3 linked regions of the Caenorhabditis elegans genome follow. The protein of the gene in region 1 interacts with the protein of each later gene in a pairwise test. Each region holds a gene or a part of one and is shown in the gene's direction. Other genes may lie near its edges. The genes, in order: cah-2, srx-137 and lntl-1.

Region 1 (10,249 bases):
AATTTTTATTTGGAAATGGCTAGGTTGTTATTTGGACAGAATAGGGTTAATCTAGTTATAAGAAGTTTGTCAGAACAAGTTTTGTTTTCATCAATATCTAGGAAAACTTTTTTAAACTTTATAATTCCTTTAGCTGATATGTTTTTGGGATAATTTCTTTGCAACTATTTAAAAGTGAAGTAAAGCCAATGGGGATTTTTAAAAACTTATTTACAATAGTCCAAAATGGCTGAAACCACTCCAAAAAATTTAAAGGTTTCAAAGTGTGCAGTTGAGGGTTTGGCAAGTTGTCAAATTTTCGAAAATTTTGAATTTTAGAGAAATCCAGATCCAAAAATCCAATTTTTTTGGTTGATTTCCAAAGCTATTTGACAATTTAACAAAACCTCGGCTGCACATTTTTTGAAATCTAAAATTTTTAGCAGTATATAAAATAACCAGCCGTGGACCGCACCTCCGGCGCGCCCCCGACTTCTGGGGCTGAAAACTTATTTTTCTGAAACTACCGTAACCCTACAGTATTCCTACCGTACCACTATTGTACCACTACAGTACCCCGATATATCCCTACACTAACCCCAACTCACTATCCCCACAGAAGCCAAAACTTCACAGACTACAAAGACTACATTGACTACAAACTATGGACACACAGAATAAGCGCTTTATATATAGTAAATGATTTCAAAAGTGGCTTCAAACAATTTTCCCATTTGCGATACGCCTTTAATCTTGATTAAATTTTAATATTATTTCTGATGACCACTTTTGTAGACGATTTTTGAATATTTCAGCTTGTTGCAATTCGAACCAGTTTATTTTTAAAACAAATCAATTATTGATGATCTTGCAATGTTTAAAGTCGGTCTCTATTCGAGCCATCGGTTGTGAGTTCCTTTTTTTATGTTTATCATATCAACCACCCTAGTCTTCCTTTCCAATTTATCATATTTTCTTGCTTTCCTCTCTCTATAACGCCCAAAACTTTATCAATTTGTCTACGTCTTCTACACATAGAGCTTCTTTTACTACAACCGATATATGAAAACTCATCTGATGGCCACAAAGGTCATTCAATCTCATCAGCACATCTTTTCTTTTTCCGCTTCTTCCCCCATTTATTGCCTGAAGAAACCCAATTAGAAAACGACGCGGAGTCGTCGTGAGAAACTGTCCCCATATACTCTCTGAAGCGCCTTTCATCATCATCTTTTCAATGTATTGAATATCTTTCCCCCAAAAAAAGAGCATCCTCCTTTCTTGGCTCTTTGAGCACTTTTCTTCCCGTAGTCCATCTCTTCATATACATACAAAAATTTGGAATGTAGTATTAATTTGAAAGAATAGTGACCCACACAAGTGAGTTACTCGTAAAGTTTATGGTTATTGGGTATCCGAAGAAGTGCAAGGCTTTCCTCGTTTTTTCTCTCTGTGTCTTGATGGCTTTTTATCAATGCACATGTTTGAGAATGTTAAAGTTTGAATTTATTTTTTTCATCTTTTAGACTTTTGTTCTGGAAAAATGTTTAAAAAGGGAATATCTTTTTCAATGAGGATTCCTGCAAAGACATTTCTGTATTTTTCGACGTTACACTTGAATAACCACATTAGACACAGTTAGTTCTCGACTCATGAACTCATCAAAAATTAACTGTGAAATAAAATTATTCAATTTTTTAAATTTTTTCCGAATAAATAGTTCCCATTGTCTTAAATTATATTTCAGTAAGTTTTGAATCTAGAACTGATTCCTAGGCAACACTTCACTTTTCCATATTCTTTACTGACCTCTACCCTTTTCTCGATGATTTATATTTGTTTCCTCGTCTTCTATTTTTCGTTTCAATTTTCCCCTTCGTTTTTTTTAAATATTTTCGAAATAGATACTTACAGAATGCGAAAAAAATTAATATTCTTCTACCTCACGACTGGATTTCTTATAACATCAAACGCAGTTCAATATCCATGGACATTTGACCCCGAATTATTTGGTGGTAAGTCATTTATATGCTTTTCTACGGTTTAGCTGTAACTTTTTTGTTGGAAAAAGAAAAAAAAACTGACACATAAACACAATTGAGGTCTCTCTCTTCTCTTTTTTGCTCACAAAATTCAAATTTCCGTCTCAACCGCGCGGCGAGAATTCACTTTACGCGTTTCTTTTTTGTCACTTTTTTCCAGACTCTCTTTCCGATCACGATAGTCTGACGACATGAAAAGGTGTTCTCATCGTTTATTTTGCAAAGAAAAACTAAAATAACACTGGAATAAGCTTTGTGTAGTATCTGAAAAATAATAGTTTTGTTTTTGAAGAAAATATTTCCGCACCATGTTTCTAAGGTTTCCTTTCGTCAGGAGTCAAGAATGATTGATTCAAATTCATAAACATTTTTTGTTCTAAATTTTGCCTGAAAAATGCTCAATAAATAACTTATTTTAAAGGATTAAAACCAATAAAGATATTCTCACTGTTTCAAATAAATTTTAAAACTCACCAGCTGTAGAAAATTGCCGGTCTTCAAAAGCAATTTTAATCTTATTTGAAGTTATAAAAATTTGTATTTTTGCTAAATAACTTCTAATAGAGAGGTTCTCAGTGCTTCGTCGGACATTTAGAGATTTCATCGAACATTTCTTGTCTTTTTCTCTTTAATCTTCCCACTATTTTCATTTGATGATCCTCCCGAAATCAAAAGAATTATTCATCAATTTACTGGATACGAGTTTCCCACGATTTGTCTATGGGCTCACACAATCTTTTTCGCCTACTCTCGCACCTCCGTCCCACATATTCAAGAGAGTATCAAACGGCAACATTTTTGTTATTTTCTTTCATCAAGCTCTTTCTTTTTCTTATCCACATTTTTCAGCTCATTCTCATGCATTTTTGGCACATTCTCGACTGACCCCGAAAAAGCCACTCTCTACCACTTTTGAATAGTGCTTTTGCACTAATAAAACTGCAGTTTCCTGAACGGAATACCTGGCAAATTGTGGGTCACAGCGGGGCGGTGAAGCAACGCCTTGCCGTTTCTAATCGGACTCCGTCTCGCGGCAGTAAATGTTTTGGCCCAATCTAATTTCTAACCAATTCGGCCCTCCCAGTCGTCATCCTGCGAAGAAAATACACGTTTTTGTTATGTTACACAGCAGTTTTGTTGAAAAAGAAAATATTTTCTTTGAGAAAAGGAGGATAAGTGTATGATATATAACTCGAATAATTGGCTCCATCAGTTATAACTAACTTTCTTCATTTTCCATATTTCTTTTCATCGTTTCACTTCATTTTCGGAGCATCCCCTTGCTCAATAAATTTTTACAAAAATTATCAATATTAAATAAAAAGCTTGAAGAGTTAAAATTTTCTAGCATCAGCCCAAGCTTAAAATATTGAAAAGAAGTAATAAAATTTAATTTTTTTCACAAAATGAAAAATAACATTATTTGTAATAAATGTGCTCCCATTTTTGACACCTTATCATAATAGGTTGCGTAGTACTTTAAACATTATCCACTAGACATCTAGTAAGGTATCTAACTATAAGACTTAGAATTTGATAAGTTTCAAAATTGTGCACCATATACCTGACAGTCCGTGCATTTTAGATTTTTTAACCATTATCTTTTTTGATTACTCTGTGTTGAATATGTATTTTACTATACCTCCAAGGTTCAGCAAAAAGCCCACACAGAAAATTTTCCTGACACTTGTTTTCTAATTTCGTGTCCAAAGATTTCCGGTCATCTTGTTTCAATTGCGTGCCCTTCTCCTCTCGTTTACTACTGATTCAAATATGCAAAATTGCTCGCCATGTCTCTGCGCTTCTTCACAAGCCACATTTCCGGCAATGAACACATCTAAAGGTGCTCCGTGAGCTGGCAATCTGAGTGTTTCATCTTCTTAACCAGTCCCACCTCATCATGTACTCCACCGAAAAAAGTGCACCCAATCAATCTTCCTTGTCTTTTTTTGGGGCTGAGCTCTCTTTTCGCTATTCGTACTACTCGTGAATGTACATTTTTGTCGTTTTCGACACCAATTAGCCGACAAACTCGTAAATAATTCTGAGACGAACAAGTACCGTGTCAGTTGTCACTGGCAACTTTCAGAGACTCTCTTTCTCTGCACTTTTTCTCTTTTTTCTTTGTTCTCTTTTGCTCATTCCCACTACCTTCATTCCAGAAGATTCCGCAGAATATTATGATACCATGGCTCTTGACAGCCTGTATATATCCTTGTGTTATAGGTAAGAAATCTGACTTCCCCGTGATTTAAAATCTGGAAGTTGAAATACACAAACTTCAAATATTCTGTTTATGACAACAATCATATTCATTATGTCTTACTATAATTTAGGGTTATGATTCACTAATCACGTATATAATTGAATACTCCTAGGTATTACACCTATAGTTAAAGTTTTGAAAATAGTTCAGCAGCTTACAAGCTGATGCATTTAACTTTCAAAAGTGGATTAGTTCCACTCACTCATAAATTCGACCAAAAAGTGTTTCCTATTAATTTTTAGTTTTAAAAATGTTTTAATTATTTGTATTTGAACATTTTGAAGATCCTGCGATACTGTTCTAAACTTTTCGAAAGTCAAAATATTACGTAAATTTGGCAGTTTACCAAAACTTTGCCAACAAAAGTTCCAAATTATTTTTTTTAATCTTTAAGCATAGAAGAATAGTTATAAATACATAAATACCATGACTGGTTTATATTTTCAACAATTCAATATTTTCAGGTCCCGACTTCTGGGGATTATTACACGGTGACTGGAGAATGTGTACAGCTGGTCAAATGCAATCACCAGTAAACATTGATCCTTCCCAACTTTTATATGATCCACATCTAATGCCTATAAACATTGAGGGAAATATTGTAAGTTCGTTTTCTATGCTTTCTGATTATGAGTTTCCCGTATAATTTTGTTCATTTTTCCAGGTGGAAGCAGTTTTCGAAAATACCGGACAACTTCCTGTGGTCACAGTTAAAGATCTACCAAATCGGCCAACAATCAATATAACAGGAGGACCAACAATGCCTTATCGTTATAAACTCCATCAGGTACCCTTTATTCGAAAAGGAATTTTTAGACCACGAGCAAATAAATTTAATTCAGATAAGCGTACACTTTGGAAGAGCAGATGAAGGAGAGAAAGGATCAGAGCATACTGTAGACAGAGTTCGATTTCCGGCGGAAATTCAGCTACTAGCATATAATAGTGCACTTTATCCAAATTTCAGTGTTGCAATGACATCACCAAGAGGGCTTCTTGCAGTTTCTGTAATTGTTGATGTAAGTACTTATACTTTTTCTAAAGTCAAAATTTGTATTTAGATTGGAAAGACTACATCTGTGGAGTTACGAAGATTAACGGTTGCGTCACAGAGCATTAACTATAAAGGTGCGTGTTTTTTCAATGGTACAGAAAGTATATAATTGAAAATGAAAAACTCAAAATCTTCACTCAAAATACCGGATGACCGGTTTACAGTGTAAGATCCTTTTTGTTTGGCATCTGGAACATGGTGCAACCATATTTTTAGAGTTTGTTCTACATGAATACTATTTCAATCTTGGTGTGAAAAATATAACTGCTAAATTTGGAACGGAAAAAAAAAGACAAGGTGGTCTGGGACCCACTGGAAAAAACCTGTGCCTTTAGCATTGCCTTACCAAATTACGATAACAAGAAATATTTCATAAAATCAAACGGCATTTTCAAACTGCGTTAAAATTTAGATTCATTTTTCAGGCCAGACTACAAATCTCACTGATTTTCAACCATCTGCACTTTTACCAAAAACCTCTCACTATGTGACATACGAAGGATCTTTAACTTTTCCCGGATGTCATGAAACTGTCACTTGGGTTATTTTAAATAATCCAATTTATATAACCAATGATGATGTAAGTCATAAATGAATCTAATGCAAAGGGCTGAAATAAATTGAAACATTTCAGCTTCAAATTTGGAATGAAATGCAAAAAACAGAAACAAAACAACCAGAACCATCATATATGACTCCTGCATATCGTCCATTGAAATCGTTAAATGGCCGTCTCGTTAGAACAAATATAAATGTTGGATCAAAAGTGAGAAAACTTGGTCTTCCAAATCTTTAATATAGTTAATTGTTCAGCAGTCTACTGTATCTTCAAGTTGTCCATCGAATGTTTACGTGGAAATGGGGTACCAAGCGAATCCTGGTAGAAATAAGCGGAATGATTCGGTAAGATACACGTCGCAGATAAATTTTAATATTTTATTTCAACAGGTTTCTCGAAGATATGTTCCAACATCGGAAGTTTTCGAAATCGATAGCATTCGTCCTGATGATGTTTCCAAAGCCGGTTCATTTTAGTAAATTACTGTACATTCTCTACTCTTCTTTCACTTTGAAAAACTTCGCGTTCTTGCTCATTCTTTCTCCGAAAGATTTAACTATTGATCTGTGTATTTCTGTATTTAATGACACTTTGGAACTATAAAATACGGGTTCGATTTTAAATGAAGTGTTTGACTCTCTTTCTGTAGAATTTTGTGATATTTTTTGACTGAACAAATAGTTAAAACCAATTTTATGAATAAAAAAGAACTCAAGAAATAAGAATCACAAAGAAAGATACTCAAATATTTTGTGATAATTTCATTAGAATCTAAATACTAACTGAGAGGAGAGAGCCAAGAAATAACTGGCAAGTGATTGCACGAAGTTTGATTTTAGAAAATGGAAAAAGTACAACGGGATTGAATAATATTATACATGTATTTACAACTCGGAACCGTCTTTTGGTGAAGTTAGATTATCGACAAGGAAGCGACGAGCCAATAGTGTGAAGAAAATAGCGAAACACAAAGCGATAACTGGAATCTTGTATAGAAGGGTATAGTCAAAGTTTGTTGATGCCAAGCGGGGAGCGTGGTGTTGGAATACCAGAGGTTGTGGATCTGAAAATATAAATTATTTTCAAGACAAAATGTTTCAATTCAAGTACCTCGAATGGGTTGGACAGCAGGTTGTGCGACATCTGGTACTTCTGATGAATTGACATTAACAGTAGTACCTTCTTCTCTCTCATCTGCATCTTCTTCTGATTCTTCGACATTTTCTGTTGGGACCGAGCTTGTTTCTTCACTTGGCTCTGTTTCTGTCGGGTTCTTTTGATTGTTGGCTGCTTCAACTTCTTTTTTAACAACAGATTCATCTTGAAACTTGAGTTGGGCAGCAAGAGTTTTCGCTTCTTCGGTTTGTTTTAATTGTCCATCTTCAGTTATCGGAAGAAGCGCAGTTTTCATGACACATCCGCATTCTTTACATTTCCACTCACAGCTCCTATAAATACGCTACTTGATTAAAAACAAATAAAAAATGAGACTCACAATTTGGCTAAACGCTGGCGCTCTTTGGGAGGATAATCCAAACTACCAAGCGCGCCTCCTGGGGTACTTGGCAGGAATCCAATCAACGCGAGAAGAGCTGTACGAACTGCAAAATGTATTAAAAAGTCTTAAAATGAATAGACCATTGTAAAACTTACTGCTCCAAGATGGTAGCCACGTTTCTGGGTGATATCCCGAAATCGAAAGGCATACTTTCTTATTTAGCTCAAATCGTCCATTAGGCTGTAATGAAAAATTGTGTAGACTATGTAATTGCAAGGAATAAACTGAACATACCGTAAGAAGTATCAAATTTGGCGGTTTCATCGGGTAATCTGCTGGAAATATAATTCTACCATGATAAATTCCGCCTTCAAAGTCAGTCCCGAGAGTACCACGAATCGTGAAGTGCCATTCAAAAAGATTGTCTTCCATTGGTTGTGCATGATACATTTCCGTTGGCTGTCGCAGTTCCATGGCTTCCTTCATGAGCCTCCGCACACCTGTAACGGAAAACATTTTAATCGGTTTATCAGAACTTTTGTTTAAAACAAACTCGTTTGTTTTAGTTGCTAAATTTGAAAAGACTCACCGGCATTTTTAGTGTTGTACTGCTCACTCATTTTATTCTCTAAATTCTCGTACTTTCAGTCAAATGACAATAAATGAAGACGGAAATGAGAAAAAAACTGGAAAACCGAAACCAACGTCAGCGAGACCCGAAGAACTCGGGGGATGTCCAATTGGGGGTATTACCAACTCGGGGGATTGGCCCCGCCCACAGAACCGTGGCTTGCAATACGCCCATTTCTGCAACTGCCGCACGGTTTTAAAATCATTTTTTTCTTGTTAATTCTCGCTCTATTGAGAAAAATACAGTTTTAAAACCGTGCGGCAGTTGCAGAAATGGGCGTATTGCAAGCCACGGTTCTGTGGGCGGGCCAATCCCCCGAGTTGGTAATCCCCCCAGTTGGACATCCCCCGAGTTCTTCGGGTCTCACGTCAGCTGAAAAGAATGTTCACCGTCACGTCAAATTGCACACATTCTTTTTAGAAGACACCGTCACGCCAAATTGCGGACAACCGACCACTTGATCGCATTTTCTTTTCTCTCTTGTTGACAAGACTTCCGCGTCGTAAAAGTAGTCTTTACACGATTTTCTGTCCGTTTTTAATTCTGAAGAAATTCCTAAAACGCTATCCTTGCTTAAATCATATTTCTAAAACGCTGGATATTGATTTTCTCTTCGCAAAAACATTTTCCTCCGCATGAACTTTCATACGACAATTTTTTCGGTTTCATAATGATTTTAACATTGACTTGAATATCCGTGTTATTTTTTCAATAATATTCTTGCAGTCACAATGGAGGAAGTACCTGACATGGACGACCTTCTCGACGAAATGGAGTCAGACTTGGTCAAGAAATGTTGCAGTGTTCAATCAAAACCTCTCTTGCCACCAACATCGATAGGAATGCAACCACGTGGCATAAAACACAATCCGGCTCCAAGAACTGTCGTAACCGTTTCAAAATTTGTGATTAGTGAGGATATGAATGAACAGATGGAAGTAAGATCTCCCTGCACTTGTTTTATCTTACAATTACACATTTGTTTCCAGGGCAACATCAATATTGACACTTCACAGCTTCCAAACACATTTCAAACTAAATCAAGTTTTCCGCCTAATTCAGATGAAAGAAATATAGGAAAAGAGAATGAAGTTTCGGCACGTCAAGAAATTGCTCACAAGCTCAAATCTGTTCATAATTATTCCGACGCGACAAATTTCGATCCTTCCAAAAAAGTCATAACACAAAAATTTTCTCAAGAATCAGAACCAGAGTCTGAGCCAGAACCAGAACCTGAAGAAGTATCAGAAGTAGAAGAGGTATGTAATTTATTATAAACGGAAATAAATTATAAATATAATTTTTCAGGATACTCTTGTTCCGGAAACACAAATTATTTCAAATCTCAACGCCACTGCAAGAGACACGGAGCCTACTGCCACAATATCAAAACCAAATCTCGATTTAGATACCGAAATGGAAGATATGCTGGCATACCTAAATGACGAGAGCGTCGATAAGTCGAGTTTGAAAGATAAACCTGCGAGAGAGGAAGGAGGACGTGATTCCATCGAAGAGTCAGCAAATGAATCAGCACTTTATCAATTTGCTGATCGTTTCTCCGAACTGGTAATTTCCGAGGCTTTGAATCATCGGAAAATGCATTATGATCCTGCTGTTAAAGAATTTTACGAAGCAAATGATTCAGTGCCCGATGTATTTGCAATGAGTCTCGATAGTACTCATTCTTCTCTTAATTCTTTCAACGCAGATAATCACAATTATCTTTCTGAGCCGGAAAATTCTTCTAAGAAAGAACGAATGCAATCTGTAGCGGAAGAAAATGAAGCTAGTGAAGAACCGACACAAAGCTCTTCGGAAACAGAGAAGAACCTTCAAAACGAGAAAATCGATGTTGAATTTATTGAAAACTCTGAGGCGATTGTGCAAAATGAGTCAGAAGATGTTCCAGAGTCTAACTCAACCAGCGGAACTGTTCTTGAGAATATCGAAGACCATTTAGAATCTGATGTTGTAATCGAGAATGGTTCTGAATCTTCTTTTGTGAATGAGAAAATGAATGAAGCCTCGACTGCACATTTAGTTGCTGAGCAATCAGTCGTAGATGATTCGGAGATTCACTTGGAAACTGAAGATCAGGAAACATTGTCACCAGAAACTGCCGACTCATCAACAAATAAAAATTCAGATGAAGTTAGTCAAGAGTGTTTATTAAGTAGATTTAATTAATTACTTTTTACAGTTTCCCGATGAAGGTTC
Region 2 (9,678 bases), on another chromosome or scaffold:
TTTAAATCGTTTTATTTGCATGAAATATCTTTGAAGTTTGGCCAGTTCATTTTGTTACACGTTAGGAGAGCTTTGAAAAATCGAAAAGTCCTGCCTACAAAACTCCATAACAAATTAAGTGGAATCAAATTTGAAATTTGATACCAATTTACTAACGAGAAATTGTTATTGTTATTGTATAAATCTACATATCTCCACTTGACTCTACCGTTCAGTTTTATTTTGCCAGCCTTGTCAAGCATAATTTTCTGAAAAAGAAATAAGGCTTTTAGATTCGTCATGTTCTACTTTCACAGCGAAGTTCATCCCAAATGGATGTGGCGGAAGGCGATGAGGAAAAAATCATTAATTTTAGTTGTTGCAATGTCAAAACCATCTACGTTCAGTTAACTGGTATTTTTTCTGAATTTAATTCATCATAGCTCAAAGTCATTTTGTTTTCTCGTATTTGTTGGTTATAAATCGTAAAACCCGTAATTTCAAGTACCAAAACAAGCATATAATTACAAACTTGAGCCGGCGTACACATCACGTGACCAGTATTTTTTCTCAGCTTCAGATTATTTTAGCACGTACTTGAGAAGGAGGCAATAACGGCGACAAAACCCAATTACCTAACACCCCTCCACGAACAAGAAATCTAGTTGTCCAGAATGATATTTCATCTGGCTCGTTTATTGACTCACAATTTATGACGGAAGAAAATTTGGTTCCAGACCAACTTCTTTTTATTCCGGAATCAAAGTTGATGTCGGTCATATTTCACGTTATTGCAGTTGTTTCTATGTTTACGGTAAGTTTTGAAAGTATAAAGTAAAAAGGTTATCAAAAAAAAAACCACGAAAGGGGCTCAGAAACTTGGTCTGTCAGCCATCTAACTGTATTACGAAATTACATAGAATTTTCGTACCCAATTCCAAATTCCAGATCAGTGCAATGGGTCTCGCAGTGAACACATATCTTTTTCAAAAATTTTCCAACAAAGCAGGTAGAGCAAGTGCTTTTCATAAGCTGTGCCTTGTCAAAACGATTCCAAATGCAATTGTGTGTGCATCATTTCTCATATGGGTTGTACCTTTGTCAATATTTCAGCCAGATTACGAAAATATTCCAAGAATACTGAATGTATTTGTTGGTCAAACTGCCGGGTTTGGCGCATATGTCACAGGTGAGTTTTTAGTCTCAGAATTGGAATACAAAATAACTAAAATCCTCTATTAAACAATAGACATGTATTAGCGACAAAATGAGTTTTTAAAAAACGGGGAATGAACTCATAAATCACACAAAACAATGTCGTGATTGTCTTTTTTGTGCCCTAAACTATAGAATAATTTTGTTTTGATGGCTAAAACTATAGTCTTTAAAATCTGAAACATACGCATACTCATACTCAGCTTGTCTATTAAAAATAATGTTGATCAAATCAACTAGAAAACAATGATTCAAACTAACTTCTGTATAAAATGTACGAAGTCTTCTTCTACTTTAAAATTAATTCCATAATTTTTCAGGACCAATACTGGAGCTATTCATGTCTTTGAATAGATTTGCAGCATTGTACTTTGCAACTAGACACCTACGTATAAGCGACTTTCCAATAACAGGAATTGCTATAATTGGAGCCTTTGCAGTAGCTATTCTGTACACATGCCTAGGCTTTAGACGTGAGTCATTACCATCGGAAAGTTACAGTAATAAATTTAATTATATTTAGCAAATTGCGGATTTGTGTTCTATCCGGCTACATTTACTTGGGATAAAGAGTACACACCCTGTGCAACTGGGATGTCTTCATTAATATTTTATTCAGTGGTTGCTATTGCCACGTGGACCAATTGTTTGAATGTAGCCACAGCATTCAAGTTGTCCATTGGAAAAGTGAGCTTTTGATTATTTGTTTTTTATTAGTTCAAGATGAGCGATTTTTACGAATGAGTTGTTCAAATTCATTACGAACTTGGGTATAATGATGTACATATTTACAAAAATATGCATCATTTCTAAAACATAGATTAAAATTTCAAAAGATCAGACTTATTTGAATTAAAATGTAACAACTGAGTGAAGTTTTAGGTTGCTGGAATGAATCAAGCCGATGCACATCGACGGAAAAAGAAGTTGATTTTGATGTTCACACAAGTAAGTTTATATCAGGCTTTACAGACAATTAAGACGCACATCTTTACAAAAGTCGAAGACCCGAAAAAAAATTAGCTTTTTCATGAGATAACTGGAGAAAGTCGAAAAATGTGTTTAATTTTTTTTCAGAGTTTTTAAATTCAAACACAATGTTTTCTATATTTAGTTTCTGAAAACTTTACACAAACAATATTAGCAATATCAGATAATAACAAAAAAAGGAGAAAATCTTTATTCCAATGAGCTCACAATCACAGACAGAACCGTTGACCACGAATTTGCTCGCTTCACTTGCATCCAAATTATCGTTTCTTTTTCAGAGTGTCATTCAAGACTGTCTTCACGTGATAGATCTCATCAACAGCATCTTCATATTCAAACTAAGCGATGCTCTTTGGTTTCAGTTCATTTTTCTTTCAATATCGTTTCTTCTTATTCATGCACTCGACGGGTAATCAAGCGTGGAGCAGCGTATTTAGACACAAAACTCTTTATTTCAGTTTTGTGATGCTCTATTTTCACCCTGAAGTTCATCCCAACTTTCTGAGAGGAAAGACGTCATCAAAGATAGCTACAATTGCAACGCCTACTTTTTTGGGAGATAGGAAAATTACAACTGTTGAATAATTATTCTCATTTTCAAATTTTTTTCGCTAGAACTTAATAATTTTATGTGATTGTTATTTGCGTGAATCCGGGTGAAATACAATACTCACATCAGTTCAATACAAATGTTCTAAATTTTTTACAGCTGTTAAGTCTCAAAGAATGTTAAAGTGTTGGAATTGTCTGTAAGACTGAAAAAGATTACTCAGTTTAATACCATGTATGATGTGGCATCTTTGCAAGACCCTAAAGGTGTTAATGTATAACATAACAAATCTAATTGTGCCGCGATTTTTATTGATAAACAAAAAATCAAAGCCCCATATTTTTAAAGATGCAGGTGAATTTTGAATAATGTTTACTGTTTTTGCTGAATTTTAAATGTCATAGATTGACAAACCACTATATGATCGAAATTTAATATAAAAACCGGAGAAAAACGAAAACAGATCTTGTTCTGATCTGGATGAAGAGATCTCGAAAATGTTCTGAAAGCGTGAAATAATTGAAACAAGCATGGGTGGTCATTTGGATTAATATACGATTATGTAGGTATTTTTTGTTACGGCTTACAAATGTGCTGTTATTGCGTCATTTTTATTAATTTCAGAAGTTTTCTTAGAAGTTTCACTTTTTTCAGAAGATGCATATGTATTCTTTTGGTTTTTCTTTGTAACATCACTTTTTGTTAACCTGAGAATTCTAATGCAAAAATTCTCACTTCAAGCATTTCTCAAAGTTTGTTTGAGACTTGAACACCACAATCTATGTACTCAGTTGTTTTTTATAGGTTTGTATGGCACGAGCGCAGAAGAAAATTTGAAATATTTGCAAAAAAAAACGTTGAAATTTAATTTTAAGTTTGTAATTCAAAAAAATGAAAAATTATTTTTTAAGTGGATAAGAGAAAACTAATTGCAGAAATCTAGTACGAAAACTGCAAAATTTAACGTGTTTTTGTTGTGATGCATAATAGGATTTCGTTTCAATTAAAGCTTCGCATTAAATGCCAAAAACTTTTAGCAAATACTTGAATAATTCATTAGACCAATAAATCTTCGTATAGTCGAGATTATTGTGAATGCCACACTGCATTCCATTAGTTTTCATGAAATTTTTCGGTTTTATTCATTTTCGTCATAAACAACAATAAAGATCACACATATTTTAAGTCTAAACTAATGTTTCACATTTTATAAATCTTAAGAGACAATTTCGAAGCTACCTTGATTTAATCTTTGATAGCCCTAACTTCTAGCCATTCACAAAACCTCTTCCCTTTTTGTGTCCGGAAAACTTAATTCATTTTCGTTGTGACTTCCCACGATTGTTTGACAACAAAGTTCTATGAGATGTCTATTCTCTAATAATTTTCCCAGAATCCAGACAATTTAAGAATCACAGATTTCATGATTAGTCTACTTCTTTGTTTTTGCTCCAACTAATCCTTGTGCTCATAACTGTAAATTCCGAAAATCATATACAATTCAGAAAAAAAAACACAATGGCGGATCTTTTCACTATTATTGCTGTAATTTCAATGGTTATTGTAAGTATAAATTCCAATAAATGTTAGAATCCAAATTTCTTACTTTCAGACAAGTTTCATCGGTGTGCTGGTTAGTGTCTACATATTCTTGAAATTTGCCAGGAAGCCTGGAGAATTCAGTGATTTCCACAAATTTTGCCTTATAAAGACTATCCCCGATATCTTCGTTTGTGGAGCATTTCTGTTTTGGGTTGCTCCAGTGACAGCTCTTTCTCTTACTTATGCAAAAGTTCCATATCTTCCAAATGTTTTTATCGGACAGATTGCAAGTGGTGGTGCATATATTTTGGGCGCGAGTATTCAAATGTGTATGGCAGCAAATCGGTTTTTTGTAATTTATTTCCCATTTCGTCAGCATAAGTCAAAAAGATCTTATGTGACATATTTTGCAATTGCTGTATGTCTTGGACTAGCAATTACCTATACTTTGCTAGGTTTAAGAAGTAAGTTAGTACACATCGAATTTCAGTAAGCTTCTTCTTTGGAGCTTTTGGATTTAGATTTAACCATTTTAATCCAATCGGAAATTAATAACACATAAATTTGGCAATGTTAATTTGTACCGTAAAATTACATTCATACGATTTCAGAACTGTGCGCCTACGTCTATGACCCCGAGATATTTTCATGGAGAGTTGAAGAATCCACATGTGCTGATCAAATGACAACTCTTATTTTCTGGTCAATCATTGTCCTCGCTGTCACCTCTAACAGTTTTAATGTACTTACTGCTATCAAGTTCCTGTGTACTCAGGTATGTAGTTTCATGAGAAAACTTGAAGTGATTCAGGATTTAGCTCACTCAGTGTGAGAAGCAACACTTTGGTTTTCGATCGCTCTAATTTTTCCCATGTCGATTCACATAGTCCATATTTATAGAGTTCCGGAATGCGACAAGCTGATGCTGCCCGAAGAAGAAAGAAGCGTCTATGGCTCTTTGTGCAATGTGTCATACAGGACTGTCTGCATCTGACAGACCTAATAAACAGTATTTTTATATTCGAGCTCAGCGACAAAGTCTGGTTCCGTTATATCTTTCTGTGCTACTCGTTTCTTGCAATACACGCCGCGGATGGGTGAGTTTTGCTCATGATCTTTCAAAATTTGACTAATGTGATAAAATTATTTCAGAATAGTCATGCTTTACTTTAACCCGGAAGTTCAACCAAAGTGGTTCCGGCAGATAACAAATGGCCGTCATTCGTCTAGAACTGGAGTCGTTGTTGTCTCCTCACATCATTCCATGAATGCAGCTAAATAAATGCTCACGTGATTTTGCTTACTGAAGAAAATTATAATAATTGTAGAGGTTTTGGAAATTTCAGGAAATTTAATAAAGTTCGAGAAAGTTTAGAAGAATTTGGAAACTACTGCAAGTTTCAGGAGAAATTCAAAACTGGGAGGCTATGGAAAACTGTAAACATCTTAAAATTGAGAATTTACAACAAGTTGGGAAGGTTCTGAACAAATTTCGAATTTCAAATATCCGAGAAAGTATTGGAAACTTCCGAAAAGTAGAAAAAATCTAGTGGGCTCTACATAAAGTTTCCAAAAATACCGGAAAACGTTTCTAAAATATAGATTCTACATGAATATTCAATTAATTAAAACCATACAAGACCAAGCCTTTCTAAAAAAAAGTTATGTGTAGAAATGGGCATCGGTTGTGATTTTTTCAAGTTTCTGCATGATATTTTAATAATTGGTAATTTAAGCCAAAAAAAAAAGCAAACTTGCACATTTATTATCTTGACTTTTGTATAAACATTGATTAAAAAACAAACAGTCACTTAAACAAACCTGTTCTAATTATGAGACAAATTCCTCTGGCACAGCAAAGATTTTTATGAGAGATTAAGTCACGGTTCAAGCTAGGTACATGTTTAAACTACGCGGAAGAAAGCGAATATTTTCAGAAGAAATCTATCAAAAAGTTTTCCGAAAATAATTTTATCTAGACTCACGTAATTTGTGTATTTGTAATATTAAACATTACCAATGGATATTATGCATAGTGTATAAATTTCTGAATACCAAATGTTGACAGAAATCAAAAAGAAAGATTATCAAAGAATCCTTGAAAATTCAATATAGGCGAGTTATTGAAAAATTACGATCCTCGTATCAGCAATGTGATCCTTCCGCTTTTATCCAATTTATTATTTCATCTTCGCTTCTTGCATACCGTTTCATCCCTTCGTATGTTACTATCTTCCTCGTGAATCGCCAGAAATAGGTGGAAAATGCGAATAAATCGGAGAAGTACCTAGTTTGGTCACCGTTTCCCAGATTCTGCATGTCATTAATATCACAACAGTCCATCTCTTGAATTAGAACACGCAAAGGGACTGTCGGGCGGTTGTGTGGATATTAGGTTGGACACTCGGGATGATTTATCATTACTACAAGGTCCAAACAGACCAATCAGAAAATAATGTTGACCTTTTTCAACTGGATCAGAGCTTTCAATTAATGCACCAAAAGGCTGAATGAAAGCTAATAGGAAATGTAATACTATTTTCCAATAGTAAACTTTGAATTCAAGAAGTTATTACTCACAAAACCACCACCGCATCTGTAAGATGTTTTATAAGTGCAAGAAAAAAGATGACCCTGTAAGTTATAAGGCTATTTATGAAGACTTTTGCGTTTCTGATAGATGTTTGATAGATATGGCAGGTTTTTGAAGGACAATATATATTCTGGAAAAAACTCATTTGCACTGAAAACCAAGTAAATTGGGTCATTCAATTTTTATATTTCTAAACTTAACATTGTTATTTTAATAACTCCAGAAACGTTCAATTTTTTAGCCCGACTCACGGTAGAACATCAGTTCCAATGTCCTTCAGTATTAACCGGAGATTCTGAAAAAGATATTTGTCGCAGCGCTCTTTATTTTCCATCTGCGCACCGGAGTGACACTCACCTGAAGGTATAGGTCATTTTGGACGGCTTTCTTCCTTTTTTAGGCGTCGCTTTGTTTCACATCAACGAATATTTTATTTAAAACTTGTAATTGACAATATCAACCAACATTTTATCATTCTGACTTCTAAGACCAACTTCTTGGAGAAAATGAAACTTCCTTATAACAATAATACATTTTTATTAATAGTGTAGTAGGGAAGTTTGGGTAATTTCTCACTATCAGTTAGACTCAAAGTATCTTTAAAAACCAAACTTCATAATGAAACGGCTCTAAGTTATTTGAACAATTTATTGACGGTTAAAATTTGGAAAACTTTTCAATGTCGCAGCGGCCGGGATTTAGTTTTTTGTAATTTAAAAGAAGATAATTATAATTATTTAACAATTTCATTTAATAAATAATTTCCAGCTGCTGCAATACGGAAAAGTTGGCAAATTTTTAAGATCTTATCGCGTTCCGGGGCTTCTTGTTTATGTTTTTTTCTCGTTTTCCAGATTTGAGTTGCGCCCTCGTGGAATATAATTTTGTTTTTATTCGAGCTTTCTTTTTTTTTTAACATCAAATGCCATTTGTCCCGGTTTGCAAGAATTTTATTTTAATGTTAACTTTGTTTAAAACGATTATCTTTGATGTGTCTTTGAATTTCTTATCTCTGAAAATTGGCTTTGAACACTTGGCCCTTGTAAGCTGAGTTCGATCTACACACAAATACATGCGAAGGGCGCTACAATCCGCCTTCAAAAGTATGCACGCGGAGATGAGATCAGTGCAGATAATGATCTAAGCCCATCTTCCTCACGTCCGTTCAACCCATTTCCTATTTGTTAAGTCCATTCTTCCTTCACCTTCCTGTTTTCTCTTAAATTAGTCTTCTGAACATATCGTAAATATTCGATAAATATTTTCAGTTCATTTTAAGAATTGATGATTGTTGTGTCACGAGTTGAAAAAACTGGAATTGCCTATAGTTACCCTCCATCGACACCATCACCAGAATGGTTTCCAGAATTGTCTGAAAATTGTGCAGTTTGTGGAGATCGGGTGCATAGTGTTCGTCTTGGATCGCCGGCATGTTTGGGATGTATTGTGTTTTTTCGCAGAGCAATCATCAATGTATCGAAGTACAAATGTTTGAAAGATGGAGATTGTTTGATCAATTACGGTAAGTTTAAAGCCAACAGCCTCGGCTAGGTGGAAACTCTGGCAATAAGTTTACCTAAATATTAAAAGTGGAGCATCATCACTGAAGATTTAGTCTACATACATTTATAATAGTCCATCGTGACCGATATTTTTGCCGCTTGAACTTTTATAACCACAATTAACTGACTATTTTAAATTATGACTGTATTTTAATCACTTTTTTCTGCCTGTAAATAGAAAATTTAATTCTTTTTTTGAAAAGTATGATGTTTGAACGTTTTATCCACTGACGATACTACATCTTTAAATGCAATTTTTGTTGCATGAATTCATTTAAATTATAAAAAAAAAAGAAACACCATATCTATGCAATTCTAAAAAATCAAAAGTTATGACGTCCATCATATGACACCAACAAAACACAACAATTTGTTATAGTGTAGGTATTTAAATGTCACAATATCGAAATCAGAACGATACAAAAAATTCTGATACATTGTGTCTTTTGACACCAACATTTTTCCTCCAGCTCATTTCTAATTCTTTTCTGTTTCAGAATTCCGGTCATCTTGCCGAGCTTGTCGTCTTCAAAAGTGCTTACAAGTTGGAATGAAGCAGTCGGCAGTTAAAAGACGAGATTGCCTTGGACCAAGAAAAGTAACACCACCAACAGCTGCATCTACTCCTCCTGTTGTTCAGCGGAAGCCAGAATCTTATATCATTCAGAATTTAGTCAAAATTCAAGATCGTCATTTTGAAGAACATCGAGATCAAAGTGTTTCTGAATTTCGAAGAGCAACAGTATCTGATGTGAACAAAGTGTTAAAATGGAGTATAAATAATGCAATTGAATGGGCATCCCAGTTCAGCCCATTCCAATTAATTATGAATGAAGATCAAAAATGTGTAATTTCCGAATATGGTTTCGCATTTTTGGTCGTTGATCAAGCATTCCGAACAATTTCTGAAACACCGAATGGATGCTGGTATCTGCAAAATGGAACTTATCTGAACTCAGATTATCTTTATGGTCTAACTGATGAAGCTGCTAAATTCAGTAATTCTTCTATTAGGTTTGTTATTTTTATTTTTACTATAATCGAAGACTGTAAATTAAAACATTCTTTTCAGAAAACATTCTGAATTTGTAAAATCCCTTGAAAAAACTATTAAAATTCCATTCGAAATCATGGACATCGACACATTCGAGATTGCAGCTTTGAAAAGTTTACTTCTAGTTTCTCGTAAGTTCAAAAATAATGTATTTTTCAAACCTATTTACATAATTCCAGCTTCATTCCCCAAA
Region 3 (13,733 bases), on another chromosome or scaffold:
TATTGTACTATGCTTAAAGTTGCCAATTCATATGTCATTTATAACCCATAATAGTGTCTCTAGTTGCTCCCCCCACCATCTCGCTTTATTTTTTATTTTTTCTCATAATTTTCGTGTACCACGGGTACTTAGAGGTTCATAAATTCGATTATTTCTTGCCCCCTGATCCCCTTATACATAATCCAATCATCTCCCGTACCACACAATCGTTGATAATTAACTAATCATATCCTTTTGATTTTGCTCTTTTTTCTATGTTAAGTATGAAATTTTTATGAACCCTTGTTAGGCGTCCTCTAGAGCACAGATGGCGCCACCAATCTCGGTGATTTTTCGCCTGTTCAAATATGCAAATTTTATTCCAATGTCGGCATTGTTTCAATTATATTGTCCCCTGGTTTTCCAAATGACACGGACGATTGCGTGTCGATGAGTGGAAGCGAATCGAATCAAATTCGAATAATGATGAGCACATATTTCTTTTCGTCATTCCGTCCACAGAGAAGAAGCAGTTTAATATTGAATGGATGGATGGACACAAGTTGTCTGTCATTCAATGGGAAACAGACTATGAATAATGAGATTTTGGGTATCAGGTTAGATGAGAAGAAGAAGGCAGCTGATTGACGAGGTGCCGACTGGGAACACGTGCGGGAAGTATGAGATGACAAGAGATGGTGACAGACGGTTGGAATCATGACATATGTTGGATTTATTTACTTTTTGGATGTTTTTTTATAAAGATCAATTCGAAGAATTTTGATTATTGTGTTTCCAGTAGATTTTGACATGCCTTCTTAAAGACGCTAGGGTTTATCCAGATGGGTCTCGACGCGTAGAAAAGTTTATGGTAGTTTTTTTTATTTATTTTTTGCGTCGAGTTTTATGGTTTTCTTCTTTATTTCAGAAAGGTACCCTTGCACTTTGTCCTCCAAAATATGGCAGTAGCTTGTTTTCAAAAAATATGAAAGTTTTTATGATTTGCAATATTTAGGTCTACTGACAAGATGACTTTTTGAAATCCCTTGGATTGAGAAAAAATCAACAAAATAAGGGTTAAAATGATGTTCTGACACAATTTTCTAGAAAATTTTCTCGAAAAAATTTTACTGTTTCACATATTCCAAAAAATGAATACAAGTATTTTTCAAACATTCCACAGGTCAATTTTGCATTTGAAAATTGTGCATCTGAATAATAAGCACGTGTATTAAGAAAGTTTCCCTTGTCGATTGACCTCCAAAATATGCGGGAAACTTATGTTAAACAATATGACATCATCAGAAGAGGCTTCAGGATTTTTGGTGGATTTCCAAATTAGAACCCTTATGAATTACATTAGGCTGAAACAAATTAACGAAAACAGCGCTGAAAATTGTGTTCTGGACCTTTGTTTTGGAAAATTTTCTTGAAATTTTTTTACTGTTTCACATACTTTTAACAAACAATGTGGGTATTTTTCAAACATTGATGTTCACATTTTTGCCTTTTTATTTCAAAATAATTGCAATCAAATTCAATTCAAAACGTTTTTAAACGATTATACATGTGTTCTGAAAAGTCATGATTTCAAATAAAAATATTTTCAACAGATTCCAGCAATGGATGGATACATTTTTAATGCTTGAATTGCAGTGGTTTATTGCATTTATAATGAACTTTTTCAATATACATTGCACACTATTTTAAACGTCCCCTTTTGAAAAACCTTAAGAACTGCAGTAGATTAACCTTCGTATCTATTCAATCCCTTTTCCAATTTTTCATCCAAAACTCTCAAATCTCTTCATCTTCTTCTTCTGATGCCCCATTCTTCATAATCCGCTAATTGACGTATCCTTTCCATTCCCTCCTCTTCTCTTACTAAATCCTAAAATTGTCTCTAATTTGTTGATCACTTCTTCTTCTTCTTCACCTTTTCCCCATGGGAGATTTCCCTTCCAAAAGCTTTTTCCTCTCCAGCATGAGCATAAATGTTATAATTGGCTCAATTGCTCTTTGGAGAGAAAGTAGATTTATGAGCCAACACAAATAAACGGAGCTTGACAGGTTTTCGACAAGCAGGTAGAAATGAGGACAGAGTGGGAATGAGGGGAGAACAGAAACATATATAGAATGTATTATTTCACACCGCATTCTATTACGCGTTCCCTTCTTTGGTTGTGAAGGAGAAAAAGCCGACATGTTTGCTTTGCTCAATTATTATTATTATGATTGTTGCCGGCCGAGTGGTAGAATATATTTGAAATGAAAATTCCCGATATGTGGTCCCTTGTTTGAAGATTTGACATTGACAGGCAGCATTAACATCGGCAGAAAAATTTTACCGTTTCATAAGTTCAGTAAACATGCAAATGATTTGATTCTAACTGATAGGACAGTGGAACGAACGATAAATCTTTTATTTTGGAGTTTAAGCTCTTTGAAAAAAAACGTATACTGAGCATGAAAGTAGCTCTCAATCCTTGAACTGTTATATAAATACTCGGTATTTATTTGGAACAACTTTCAAATATCAAAACGCTTAGGAGTTTTTTGGTTGATTAATAGAATGAAAGTTAAAAAAAAAAAAAACATTCACTTTTTTTGAAAACAGTTTCAGGTTCTTGATAAATTTTGTGGTGGTTTATCATTCTGTTTAGAATTTTAGTTGACTATGGTATATTTATTAAATGTCTGAAACATAACATTTATTCAAAACGTAATTTATAAGTTGTTCCCGATACTGGATCACATATTGAAAATCTAAATTTTTTTTGGTGACGTTGAAATGGAATTTGTTGAAAAATTTTACCGTTTCACTATTTTATCATAAAATTTTTTATGAAAATCTATGAGATTGTTTTACTACTAATAAACATTTTAAAGTTGAAATTTAAAATGACAACTGTTCGATAGAGAATGCGAAAATAATTGACTAAAATTGAAATATTGGTATCTTTCTAAAATATTTCTTAGTAAATTGATAAACGAACGACGTCACTGATTTTTGTATAAAAAACTATTAAATAAAATGTTTCAGGTTTTTGATAAAATTCAGGATGGTTAGGCCAACTATTTTTTCAGTGTTTAACATGACAGTTTTCAGGTTCTTGATATATGCCAATGTCGCTAATCAAATGATTGTCTATGGATGTTGTCAAATGTCAAAAAAAACTTCAAATGAAACTCCAAAGGTGTTCCTGATGTTGGGTCATTTTTTTGTGAGTCTGAAATATCCTGGCGCCACTGAAACAAAAAATTGGTCGAAAAAATTACCGTTTCACTATTTTCATAAATATGTTTAAATTAATTTGGGCCATAATTTTCACTTTTTTCTAGTAGAAATGTTCTTGATATTTTTGATTGAAACCCTTCCAAGACATGATAGGTCACTTTTCAGTAACCATTTAATGAGCTACACACGTTAAGAAATTTTTTTTGAAGAATACGTTTGAAATGTAAATTAAAAAATGGATAACTTTTCGATGCTTTTAGGCATTATTGAAATAAAACGTTGGTTAAAGTTTTTGACCGTTTTATAAATTTCATGAATACGCTTCATTTTTTCAAAGCTTGAATAATCTTTCCACTATTTTTTCACTCTTTTTTTTTGGTTTTTCGTATTTTTGTTTTAAAATTTTCACATTGTTTTGCAAAGTTATCACATATCATGTTTCAGTTTCTTTATAAATTTCAGGGAGGTTCTGAAGATATTACTTTTAACTTTTTTCAGGATTGCGTGTTCGTTGGTGTCCTTGTCCCATTCCATGTTTCCGTCGTTGTGTTCTGACTCATAAATTTCACGGTTTTTTGGGTGTGTGGTGACAGTAAAAAGTGTGAAGGGATAGATTGTAAAAAAAAATTCCTCGCAAATATAGTTTAGAAGGTTTCAGAAAGTTTTCAAAAAAACACATTCAAAAATTCAAATGTTTCATAAAGTGGTTGAATGAACTTTTAAACTATAAAAATTAAAACTCAAACCTTTCCGGAAAGAGCTTAAAATACATCTTGTTCGCCGTGTTCTCCTAATTTTTTCAGGACTTGTGGGACGTAAGACCTATAATATATGAAAACAAAACGACAATTTATAAAAACCAATTTTTGTAATAATTTTTCATTGATAAATAAAAACAATGTAGTATGTCAAAAATCTTACAATTGAACTAAAGATTACGAAAATCGATTTTTCGGTAAAAAACTTTGGCCAAACTCGAATGAAGGAAATTCCCCAAACTATTATTTGCTTACCAATACATATTTTTAAATATATATTAGAAACGTATTAGAAACATATGAAAAGTGTTTACAAGAAATTATCAAACTTGGCATTTGTTTTAATGGTTTTAGTTTAACATCTGAAACAGCAAAAAAAATTCCGAAAATAGTTCGAATTGTTTTTTTTCCGTTCTCAATCGCTGATGGATTCACTTTAGCTAATATTTCAGAAATTATTTTAAATACAAAACGACTTGTTGTTGAGCATTACTCATTATGATTACAAAAATCGAATTATTTTCTCAAAAATTACTTCAATTATATTCTAATTTTGAAACAGTAAAAAAAAATACGAAAATTATATTCACTTAGCTTTTCGAATATTGGTTAAAGTATGTATTAGTAATTCCTCTTTTTTACTATTAATTTTTTAAAAATACATCTCAATCAATTCTACAGGGAAAATAAAAACATCGCCCCCTCGAGCAGCTTGAATCCCTGGAAAAATGAAAATAAGTAAGAGAAGAAGAGGCAAAGAAGTCATCGACGATTGGCTGGCAGGCATACAAAGTAGGCGGAGTCGTCATGTGAAACCCGGCGGAGGGCTTCGATTCACAGAGACTCCTCCTGTTTGTGTGTCCCCCGATTGCCCGTCTGAATCATCGAATTTTTTTTGGAAATCAATTTCGATAAAAAAATGTTTAGTAAGTTTGTTGATTTTAAATTTAAAATTTTTTTTATGTGAATTAAGCGCACAGTGTCTGCATTCATTGAAATTTTAACCAAAAAATGTTTTATTTGGAGCAGAACTTTTTTTAACGTCTCAACTAACCTAAATATATAATACTCAATTGGTGTAATTTTCTTTTATTCAACTGCAGAAACTTTTTACATCAACTACTCAATATGTTAAATAAAACCTACGAGTTTTTATAAACATCATGAAACAGTGGATAGTGTAATCATGAATCATCATTGGAATTTCAAAAAATTGATTTAAAAAGTGATTTGTGTGTCTCTATTCTCTCTCGGCATGAGCTTATAAATTCAATTGTTTGTGAGAGGGCAAACCGAACCGCGTTGCAATTGTACCGTGCCAAATCCCTCGCAATATTTCTTTGCGTCTCTTCTTTCTTATACTCTCTCTCTCTCTCTGTGTCGTTTTCTATCAGAGTACAGTAATCTGATTTATAAACAACGTTAAACAAAAGTGGAAGTGAAGAGGAAGGTTTTGAAGTTTTCAAAATGTTCTTGAAATTTTTCGGCCAGTCGATCCCACACATCGAGATGATTGAATTAATTTCAAAAAATAAAATGATATTCTATGAATGAAACTGTAATTTTTTTTCGAAAAATTTCACATTATGATGTCTTCTAGGAAAGTTGGAAAATTTCACAACAGTATTGCTGGCTTTAACTTTAAAACAAAAAAAACCGTGAAAAAAACTAAACAAACAGTATAGGTTAAAATGAGCAGAGCTTTTCATAAGAAACGCAAAAATTTTTGCTATGATGAGTGATGAAAGTGAGTTGCTTTTTATAATACATTTTCTACAGTTTCAGAAAAAATTCAATTACCATAACAACAATTTTAAATGTTTGGAAACAAATATTTGAAAAACGTTGAAAAAAGTGAGCGGAATTTAAAAAAATTTCTGTTTCACTGAAATTTTATTTCATTTGCTGAGAAAAATATATATTACCGTACTATTTTCAAAAGCTTTAGTAAGAAATATAAGTTCTCCCTTCTCTCAAATAGGAAACTTTCACTTACTTCTTCTTCTTTACCTGAATACCTGCCTAATTGTAGCCTTCACCTTTCTCTCTCTCTCCAGTCCCAGTTCTAATTATTCCGAAATTCTCTCCTTTTCCATGTTTCACATATACATTTCCGATTTTGTTTCCCACGTTTTCATGTGCCTGAATCCTCTGAACTAGAGATTCTGAGACGCAGAGAAAAATAAACGTGGATTACGGTAGTTGAGGGGAGCCAGAGAAGAGCGGCGACGTTTTTCCGTCTTCTCGTGCATTCTAGTGAAATAGCGCTCAAAAAATTTAGACGCAGAATTGCAACGCGCAATTTACTATTGATTCGGTTGAAAAATGAAGAGAGAAGAGAGACTCAGAATATTTTGAAATATGTTTCTGACTCATCTATTCTGAAAACTTAATGATCAATAAATTCCAGGTTGCATATCTCCACAGAAATCACCGGCTTTTAGTCCAGAACAGGAGAAAATGCTGAAATCGAACAGAGCAAATGAGCCACAAAGCTTTGTGAAAGGAAATGTAAGTATTTGAATTTAATTCTTAATTTGAAAATATATATTAAAAATAGCGAAACCTAAAATTTCTTCACAGTTTCAGCGATTTTTTAAGCTTTCATTAATTCATGCATATATTTTTTTCTTTAAGTGAACGGAAGAATACAGCTTGTGCTGAAAATTTGAACACTTGAAATGTGTTATAAATATTGTATCAACACTATTTAATTAAAGTTTATAACTTTGTGAAGATAGTTTTTATTTTTTACGTATACTTTTGTGGGATTCTGTAAACAAGCGAATTTGTGTTATTCGAAATTAATTTACAGTTTCAACATTTTTTCATAAGTTTTGTATTTTTGAGGTGTATATTTTTATCTTTGCAGTTTTAAAAGTTATGTTCTTCAAAATATGAAAAACGTGAAATACCTCAATATTAAAAGGATCATTTAATTAATTATTTTTAACTGATTGAACATGAAATTATTGCTCATCTGAACATAACAATTCAATTTTGATCCGTATTCTTGCAAAAAATATAATCTCTAAGCTGAAATAGTCACCGAATACACAGATTGTTTGATATTTTTCCAAGAGTGTTTGCATTTTTTTCATGAGCCTAGTTATTTTATGAGCACATTTAAAGTTTACGAATTCATTATTTTTTGTTCGCTCGCTTTATCAGCAAAAATATATGCCGCAAAATGTGTAAAAATACATTGACAGAATTTCAAATTTACAACTTTTTTGTACTGTCTCAACAAGTTTTTATCATAATATGATAATCAGTTTCATTGATTCACGGATGCAATTTGTGATAAAATTAATTTTAAACATATATTAAGAGCCCAAAAGCAGTTTGGAATTCGATTTTTAAGGTTTTGAGAAATCGTTCTCTTAAAAAAATCATTCAATTTTTGTTGCAAATAAGAAAAAAAATACTCAAAAAATTTTTTAATCTATTAAACATGAAATATTGTTAATTTGCTAAATTATCAAGTTTTACATTTTTCTACAGTTTCAACATATTTTGATAATAATTTTATTTTTTGTAAGTTTACATTTTGCTCCTTTTTTCGAATTCTCTGCGATTCTAATGAAAGAGCAAAAGTTAAAAATGTTCAGGAATGTTAATTCTGTTAGAAACACCTGTAAGAAATGAACCTTTATAAAAATTAAATGGACTGTTTCATCAAGTTTTGTATACATTTTGATTTCAGAAACTACCGCTTTAACCCATTTGAATTCTTAATTTTCAATTTAATGAAAAGTTTTGAAAAAAAAATTTTATAGCATGTATTGCACCCTATAAAAACAAATTGAGTTTTTCCAGGACGCCGCAAAATCCGACCTGATAGATTTGGAAGAAGTTGTTACCAATTGGGCAAAGACAATGTTTGATGTGACAAAAAGCAAAGCGGAGGGAAAAATCAAGAAGAAATATTTATCGGTGAGCATTTCCATTCATTATGCTCAGTTTGTCACCATCGATCCAATTACGGAAAGAGGAAATTGGCACCTCCGTTAGGAAATTGAGCATGAAAATTGATAGGTTGTGCCTTTGGGAGGTCCCATGTGTGTGTTTAATCCGTTCAAAGTGAAAAGGGGGTAATGAATTGAAGAATGCTCATGCGGGATAAGAGAAATTGAAAAGGGAAAGAGAGAAAGAAAGAATGACAAAAATCACCCAAGGGAACCGACATATGGTTTCATTTATTTGAATACAATGAGGTCCCGCCAAAGTGAATAAATTGATATAGAGAATGGGAAATAGGATGTATTACTAAAATCTGAAGGGAAGAATCTTGTGAAGCAATTTCAACATTTTCCTGGCTGAAGTACAAAGCTGATGAAAACATGTTGAAACAGTAATAATAATTTTTAAAACTTCTTTAATTTTTCTGTATAAACTTATTCTCGTTGTGCTATAAAACTCAAAAAAAAAGTACCCAGCAAAAGGAAATTGTCAGGGTTTTCACCGAATTATCGGCAGTTTTCTACAATTTTTTTTGAACAGTTTTCTAGAACTTAAAGCTGGCTGGAGAGGCGCCAAAAATATTTGTTGTTGATATATATTTTTAATGGTAAAAAATGGACTGTAATGATTGAATATAATTTTGAAAAAAAAAATCAAATTAAAATATTTATGATTGAATAAAAAAATGACAAAAAATCATTTTCAACATGGTTTTAAAACTTCATATTTGTTTTGACTCCAATAACGAGATAAATTAATCTGCAAACTTTTCCTAGCGTTTTCGAAAACGAACAAAAATCAGAATCAACTATTACTCTCATCTTCACCAACTTCTCAAAAACCTCATCATCAACAATGCTCCCAAAGTGTAAATGTAAATGAAGTCGGCACGAAGGTGTCAAAGGCTCAGGGTGTGTGTATAGGAACAACAGTCACACATACCACCCGCTTTCTTGATTTACGAGTTACACACCTTGAGGGTATAGAATTCCTAGCGAGAAAGAATATTTTGAGGGAAATGCGAAACAGTATTTAAAAAATACAACTGGAGTATGTTTCATGGTGGTTTTGAAACGTTTTAACTACAACGAGAGTTACTTAATAAACATCTAGTCTTTGAATCACTTTTCACAATTCTAGTTATAATTTTAAGAAAGTTGTTTTAAAGAACTCGCATGGGCATTTCCGTATAATCCCAACAATTTTTCAGTACAATATCAACTGGACAAAACTGTTTCAAGAATGCTCGGAGCCAACATACACAATCCTTGGAGCAAAGCCGAATGTTGTCGATGCAGTTAGTTATTTTTAAATTAAAAATATTACATTTAAAGTTTTATACTGGAATAGGTTTGGCATATCATTAATTTTTGAATCAAAACTTTTAGAAAAATTTACTGTCGATAAAAATATACAAATTTCAGTATGTGCGTTTCAAAGTTTCCTGAACAAAAAATAACTTCCATATTATTGAGAAATTTGATTTTAAAATTTAAAAAAAAGAAAAATTTTACTGTTTCTAATGAAAAATATTGAAATAGCGGTTATTAGAAATTTTATTCACATCTCTCTCAACCTCAACAAGAATATTCAATTTTCAGAAACAAGATGAGAAAGTGATTTTCAAAACGACATTCACGAATACAACTCAACGCGAGCAAGAATATTCGTTCAAAACGGAACGATGCACTCGCAGCTCTTCAACTGTAATCATCGAAAAGGGAGTTTGCCGTGGAGCAGAAGTTTCACTGAAACTGAAAACTCCTTGTGAAGTTGTGGAAGCAAATGCTGGATTTACTACAGAAGTTATGTTGAATCATATTGGAGAAAATACTTCTGAAGAAGAATTGACATGGGGTGTTGATAGTTGTGTTAAGGTGCCACCAGGTGCAGAAACTGTTGCTGAACTCGTGATTATTGAAGATATTGTAAGTTTTTAAATTGTTTGAATGAGATGGAATCAAATTTAAACCTTCAAACTACTTTTTCAGTAATTAGAAATGTTCTAAAAGGATTTTTAAAAAATTGGTTGCAAAAATTGAATGATGAATCCATTTTCGAGATAGAAAATTTTTATGAAAACTTACATCAGCTGAACAGATTAAATTTTTATATGGAAAGCTCTCATCGATGAATAGTTCCTATTTGAAATTTTCAGCAATGAAAACCTCTTTGATACTGTTTCAATTAGCTCATAGAAAGTAATGATTTTCAAAAGCTTAATTTTTTACAGATATAGAAATTTGAATTGAAAAATAATAAGGCAAGTGAAATTGCAACAAAAAAAAACGGTAATTAGGTATTTTACTGACTAAAATTTAAAGGAATGCAACTGTTTAGAAACTCTAAGTATGTAATGTCTAATGTAAGATTTCTTGAATCAAATTAAAATTCCTACTACATATTCACAATGTTTTGCCGTTTCAAACAGTTAATAAATTATTATGCTTTCCGAGAAGTTTTGATAAGTTTGTGTTAGTCAAGTCACTAAACTTTAAAAAACTTTATACGACCCCATCATCCGTCAAAAACCCTTTTTTCCAGGTAACTCGCGATTTCCGCATCGAAAACCGTCTGAGTGGCAAAGTTTTGGTGACAAGTGAGTTCTTTCCTTTTTCATGCAAATTTAACACATTTTCATTGAATTGGCAAGAGAATGAATGAATAAATTGTCAAGGGTCCTTGACTATTCAACTGTTTCACTTCCACTTCTAGTGCTACACCACTAATAAACGGAAACAACATTTTGAAATTATTCAATGGAAGAAAATATATGAAGGTGTGTAAAAACAGGGAAAAATTAAACTTCCAATTTGAAAAGCTTGAATAGAAAAAAGAACAGAAAAACTATTTCACTACCAGGTAACCAGGCAATATACCCACAAATAATTTCCCTTGTAATCGAATTTAATTTTCAGTAACCAACTTGAAAGAAAACAACAGTTTGGTCACAATTATCGAAGGAAATATCTGTGATATCATCCGAGGAATGCCTGATTACACAGCTAAAGGATTCCGCTTTGATGGACCTGTAAGTATATCGAATCGAATAGCTCACTAAGATTTCAAATTTTTTCGCCTACTTTGTCTACAATATGAAAAAGTATAGAGTTCATTAAAAAAAAACTTTGATACATATGACGGATTGACCAATTTTTTATATCAAAATCTTTAATATATCAAATTCTTTAATTTATATCAAAATCTTTAATAGTAGGTTTGAAACAGCGGATAATTTATTTTGTATTACACAATTTTTAAGTTCTATTATACAATGACAAGTCACTTTTTTTCTTGGAACACCTTTTATTTCCAGGCTGCCATCTACGAGACCCGCGGCCAGTGCATCTTCCGTTTCGGAATTGAGCAAAAAGTCCGAATCAACGAATTTTCACTCAACTCGTCTCGTCGGTACTAACAAGTACTTCTCACTATGAATCAATATAATTTATCTTTTTCCACTGGCTTCTCTGCTTTACTTCTTTTCACAAATCCATTTATTTCCCCTCTGATATAATAATTTCCGGTAATGAAAAATAAGCATTCGATTATTCGATTTATGAAGTTAACTATCATAAACAAGGTTCTATTATACTTATCAACAGTTTGAAACAGTAGATTTTGTAACAAAGCGTTAAAATTGTATTATGTTCTGCGGGTATCATTGTTTGAAACAGATTGCCAAAAAAATGACTCCAACTCTAAAACTTTACTGATACTATAAAAATAAATAAAAATGCATTGAATACAAAAAGTCGAATAGAAAAAAATTTAATGGGCAGGAGACTTTGGTTGAGAAGTGTAAGTCTCTTCAAGACTATATGAGCTGGTGGAGACAGCGGTCATCAGGTCCTGAAATTAATTTATTTGCAAGGATAACTACCGTATTCGCTTACACTAAGAGCAACTCCGCATTTCTGAGCCGAGTTTTGAAGAGCATCAAACAAATGAGAAGCTTGAGTTTCAGCTGGAAAGAAAATTAAAAAGTTGGTCAATAAGATAGTGAAACGGTTTTCCCAATGTGCTGAGATTTTTAAAAACTAGAAGAAACAGTAAATAATACTAACCAACATCCTTTGCAGTATGAAGTGCATCCTCAACTATCTCACCAAGAGAAACACTAGAAAAATTGAAAGAAGCCGAATCCGTACGAGTTCCAGTGGCAGATTGGAGCATTGATTTCTCATCAAACGATCTTGGTGGAACACTGACAACTGAGCTACCGTTTGAAAAGGCAGTCTTCATGGAATTGGTTGAATAGTTCTTGCACGGAATCTCAGACATATTGTCCGGCATGGAACTGGTGGAGACTAAAAGTTTAAAGTAAGAAATAGGATTAAAAATGTGCAACTAACGAGAAGAAAGTGTCGAGTGGCCAGAGGACGAGCGAAGCTCATACGAAGACAAGGACATTTGCTCGCGAAGTGACTGCACACTGGAGTGACCATCCGAGTAGGTAGACCATTGAGAAATGTTTGAAGCAGAATCCCAAGATCTAAAATTGAAAACGGCATTGATGGAATTGGATGGAATATTATAAGATTTAATTTTGAAACAGAATTTTTTTATATTTTAAAAATTAATTTTAGCATCAAAAAAAATTACCCGCACTCATAAACTCCTTTCGGACCTTCAACAGCTTTACGAATACTTGCACTGCGAATGGCATCGTCTAAATCATTAAGACTCGAGTCATCAGTTGACAATCCAGAGAGAGCAAACGAGGAGCTATCAAATACATCCAAATGATTTCCTTTACTAGAAACAACTGATGTACTCATCCAGGAATCACTGTTCAGGCTGCTCATTGATTCTTGTGCATCCCAGTTGCTCATCACACGCATCAAATGACGAGTCAGAAGCTCAAACTTGTACTTCCCATCATAATTGTGGTTTTGAACAATCTTTTCGATAGTGTGATTGAAATCAAGGCGTTCATTCTTGTTGAAAGGAAGCTCGTGAATCAAATTGACAAGGCTATTGACTGCCTGTTGCACACGATGATCTTCTTGCTCAAAAACAGTCAGAGGCCCAACATCAACCTTCCCGATATCCAGGAATTGACGGATTTTAGCAACACGTTTCTCATTCTCTGATATCATATTGATGGTCTTCTCATTGATTTCGTAGATTCTCTCGTGATCACGAACAAACTTTTCCACCTTCTCCTTGTCACGGAACTTGTCGACAATCTGTAAAATATTCTTATCATCGGGAAAACTTTAATTCTCTCACCTTGGCGTCCATATCAAGAAGCTTCTTTTCCAACTTTTCCAGCTCATCTACTGTTCCACCAACAGTTTCTTCCAGGCAATCAACGAGCTCATCATGATGTCCCCAAGTACGTTTTCCATTTTGCAGCAACTCAGCAAGTTTGGATGTTTGCTTGACAACTGTTTCAGTTGTATTTTCCACAGTTTGCTCGAGGATCTAAAAAACTGATAGATAAACCTTTCAGCATCTTGCTTATCAGAAAGACGTGCCTGACACATGCCTGCCTGCGAGCATTTTTAAATTATCAGGTTGACATTGAGGCAGGCAGGCAGGCATGATTGTGTCTGTGTGCACTTCTTCTGACAATACAACATTTTGAATGCGGAAAAATTCAAATGCATTTTTCTTGGACAATTGTTAATTGGATTTAATAATTTTGGAGATTGACGTCTCTTTATAGAAAATGTAAGCTGCAACAACTTACCGTATCCAGTTCCAGAATTCCTTCCATTTGCTTACCGAGGCACAATCTCATTTCCCGATTCTCAGTAGTTTCAACCAAAGAGCTCAATATTTGTGAC

What was found.
Region 2: the proteins of cah-2 (region 1) and srx-137 interact in a two-hybrid assay, tested with the Caenorhabditis elegans proteins (one large-scale study listed by BioGRID).
Region 3: the proteins of cah-2 (region 1) and lntl-1 interact in a two-hybrid assay, tested with the Caenorhabditis elegans proteins (one large-scale study listed by BioGRID).

What each region holds. Positions count from the first base shown.
Region 1 is NC_003280.10:7,477,044-7,487,292, reverse strand, and holds cah-2 (Putative carbonic anhydrase-like protein 2), read left to right. Parts: upstream 1-4,183; 5' UTR 4,184-4,201; coding exon 4,202-4,247; intron 4,248-4,751; coding exon 4,752-4,888; intron 4,889-4,951; coding exon 4,952-5,074; intron 5,075-5,129; coding exon 5,130-5,306; intron 5,307-5,348; coding exon 5,349-5,415; intron 5,416-5,766; coding exon 5,767-5,921; intron 5,922-5,975; coding exon 5,976-6,107; intron 6,108-6,154; coding exon 6,155-6,244; intron 6,245-6,289; coding exon 6,290-6,376; 3' UTR 6,377-6,542; downstream 6,543-10,249. Other genes in the region: ubc-6 (UBC core domain-containing protein), read right to left, coding at 6,785-6,963, 7,011-7,348, 7,396-7,501, 7,554-7,638, 7,693-7,898, 7,988-8,018; aka-1 (FYVE-type domain-containing protein), read left to right, coding at 8,761-8,967, 9,019-9,288, 9,338-10,183, 10,233-10,249.
Region 2 is NC_003283.11:13,858,553-13,868,230, forward strand, and holds srx-137 (7TM GPCR serpentine receptor class x (Srx) domain-containing protein), read left to right. Parts: upstream 1-4,252; coding exon 4,253-4,297; intron 4,298-4,346; coding exon 4,347-4,740; intron 4,741-4,887; coding exon 4,888-5,051; intron 5,052-5,173; exon of another isoform or gene 5,174-5,176; coding exon 5,177-5,373; intron 5,374-5,428; coding exon 5,429-5,558; 3' UTR 5,559-5,647; downstream 5,648-9,678. Other genes in the region: srx-136 (7TM GPCR serpentine receptor class x (Srx) domain-containing protein), read left to right, coding at 273-390; srx-135 (7TM GPCR serpentine receptor class x (Srx) domain-containing protein), read left to right, coding at 749-793, 928-1,168, 1,515-1,667, 1,718-1,881, 2,077-2,142, 2,463-2,593, 2,643-2,769; nhr-175 (Nuclear Hormone Receptor family), read left to right, coding at 8,154-8,391, 8,929-9,445, 9,504-9,616, 9,665-9,678.
Region 3 is NC_003282.8:5,798,134-5,811,866, reverse strand, and holds lntl-1 (LIN-24 (Twenty-four) Like), read left to right. Parts: upstream 1-4,773; 5' UTR 4,774-4,894; coding exon 4,895-4,901; intron 4,902-5,080; exon of another isoform or gene 5,081-5,102; intron 5,103-5,467; exon of another isoform or gene 5,468-5,488; intron 5,489-5,796; exon of another isoform or gene 5,797-5,817; intron 5,818-5,897; exon of another isoform or gene 5,898-5,918; intron 5,919-6,385; coding exon 6,386-6,486; intron 6,487-7,259; exon of another isoform or gene 7,260-7,281; intron 7,282-7,794; coding exon 7,795-7,911; intron 7,912-8,166; exon of another isoform or gene 8,167-8,187; intron 8,188-8,261; exon of another isoform or gene 8,262-8,282; intron 8,283-8,632; exon of another isoform or gene 8,633-8,775; intron 8,776-9,036; exon of another isoform or gene 9,037-9,061; intron 9,062-9,148; coding exon 9,149-9,235; intron 9,236-9,495; exon of another isoform or gene 9,496-9,519; intron 9,520-9,539; coding exon 9,540-9,866; intron 9,867-10,403; exon of another isoform or gene 10,404-10,424; intron 10,425-10,482; coding exon 10,483-10,537; exon of another isoform or gene 10,538-10,856; coding exon 10,857-10,969; intron 10,970-10,974; exon of another isoform or gene 10,975-10,995; intron 10,996-11,096; and 5 more. Other genes in the region: C31H1.1 (DUF148 domain-containing protein), read right to left, coding at 11,710-11,790, 11,835-11,905, 12,006-12,248, 12,294-12,433, 12,544-13,130, 13,174-13,368, 13,637-13,733.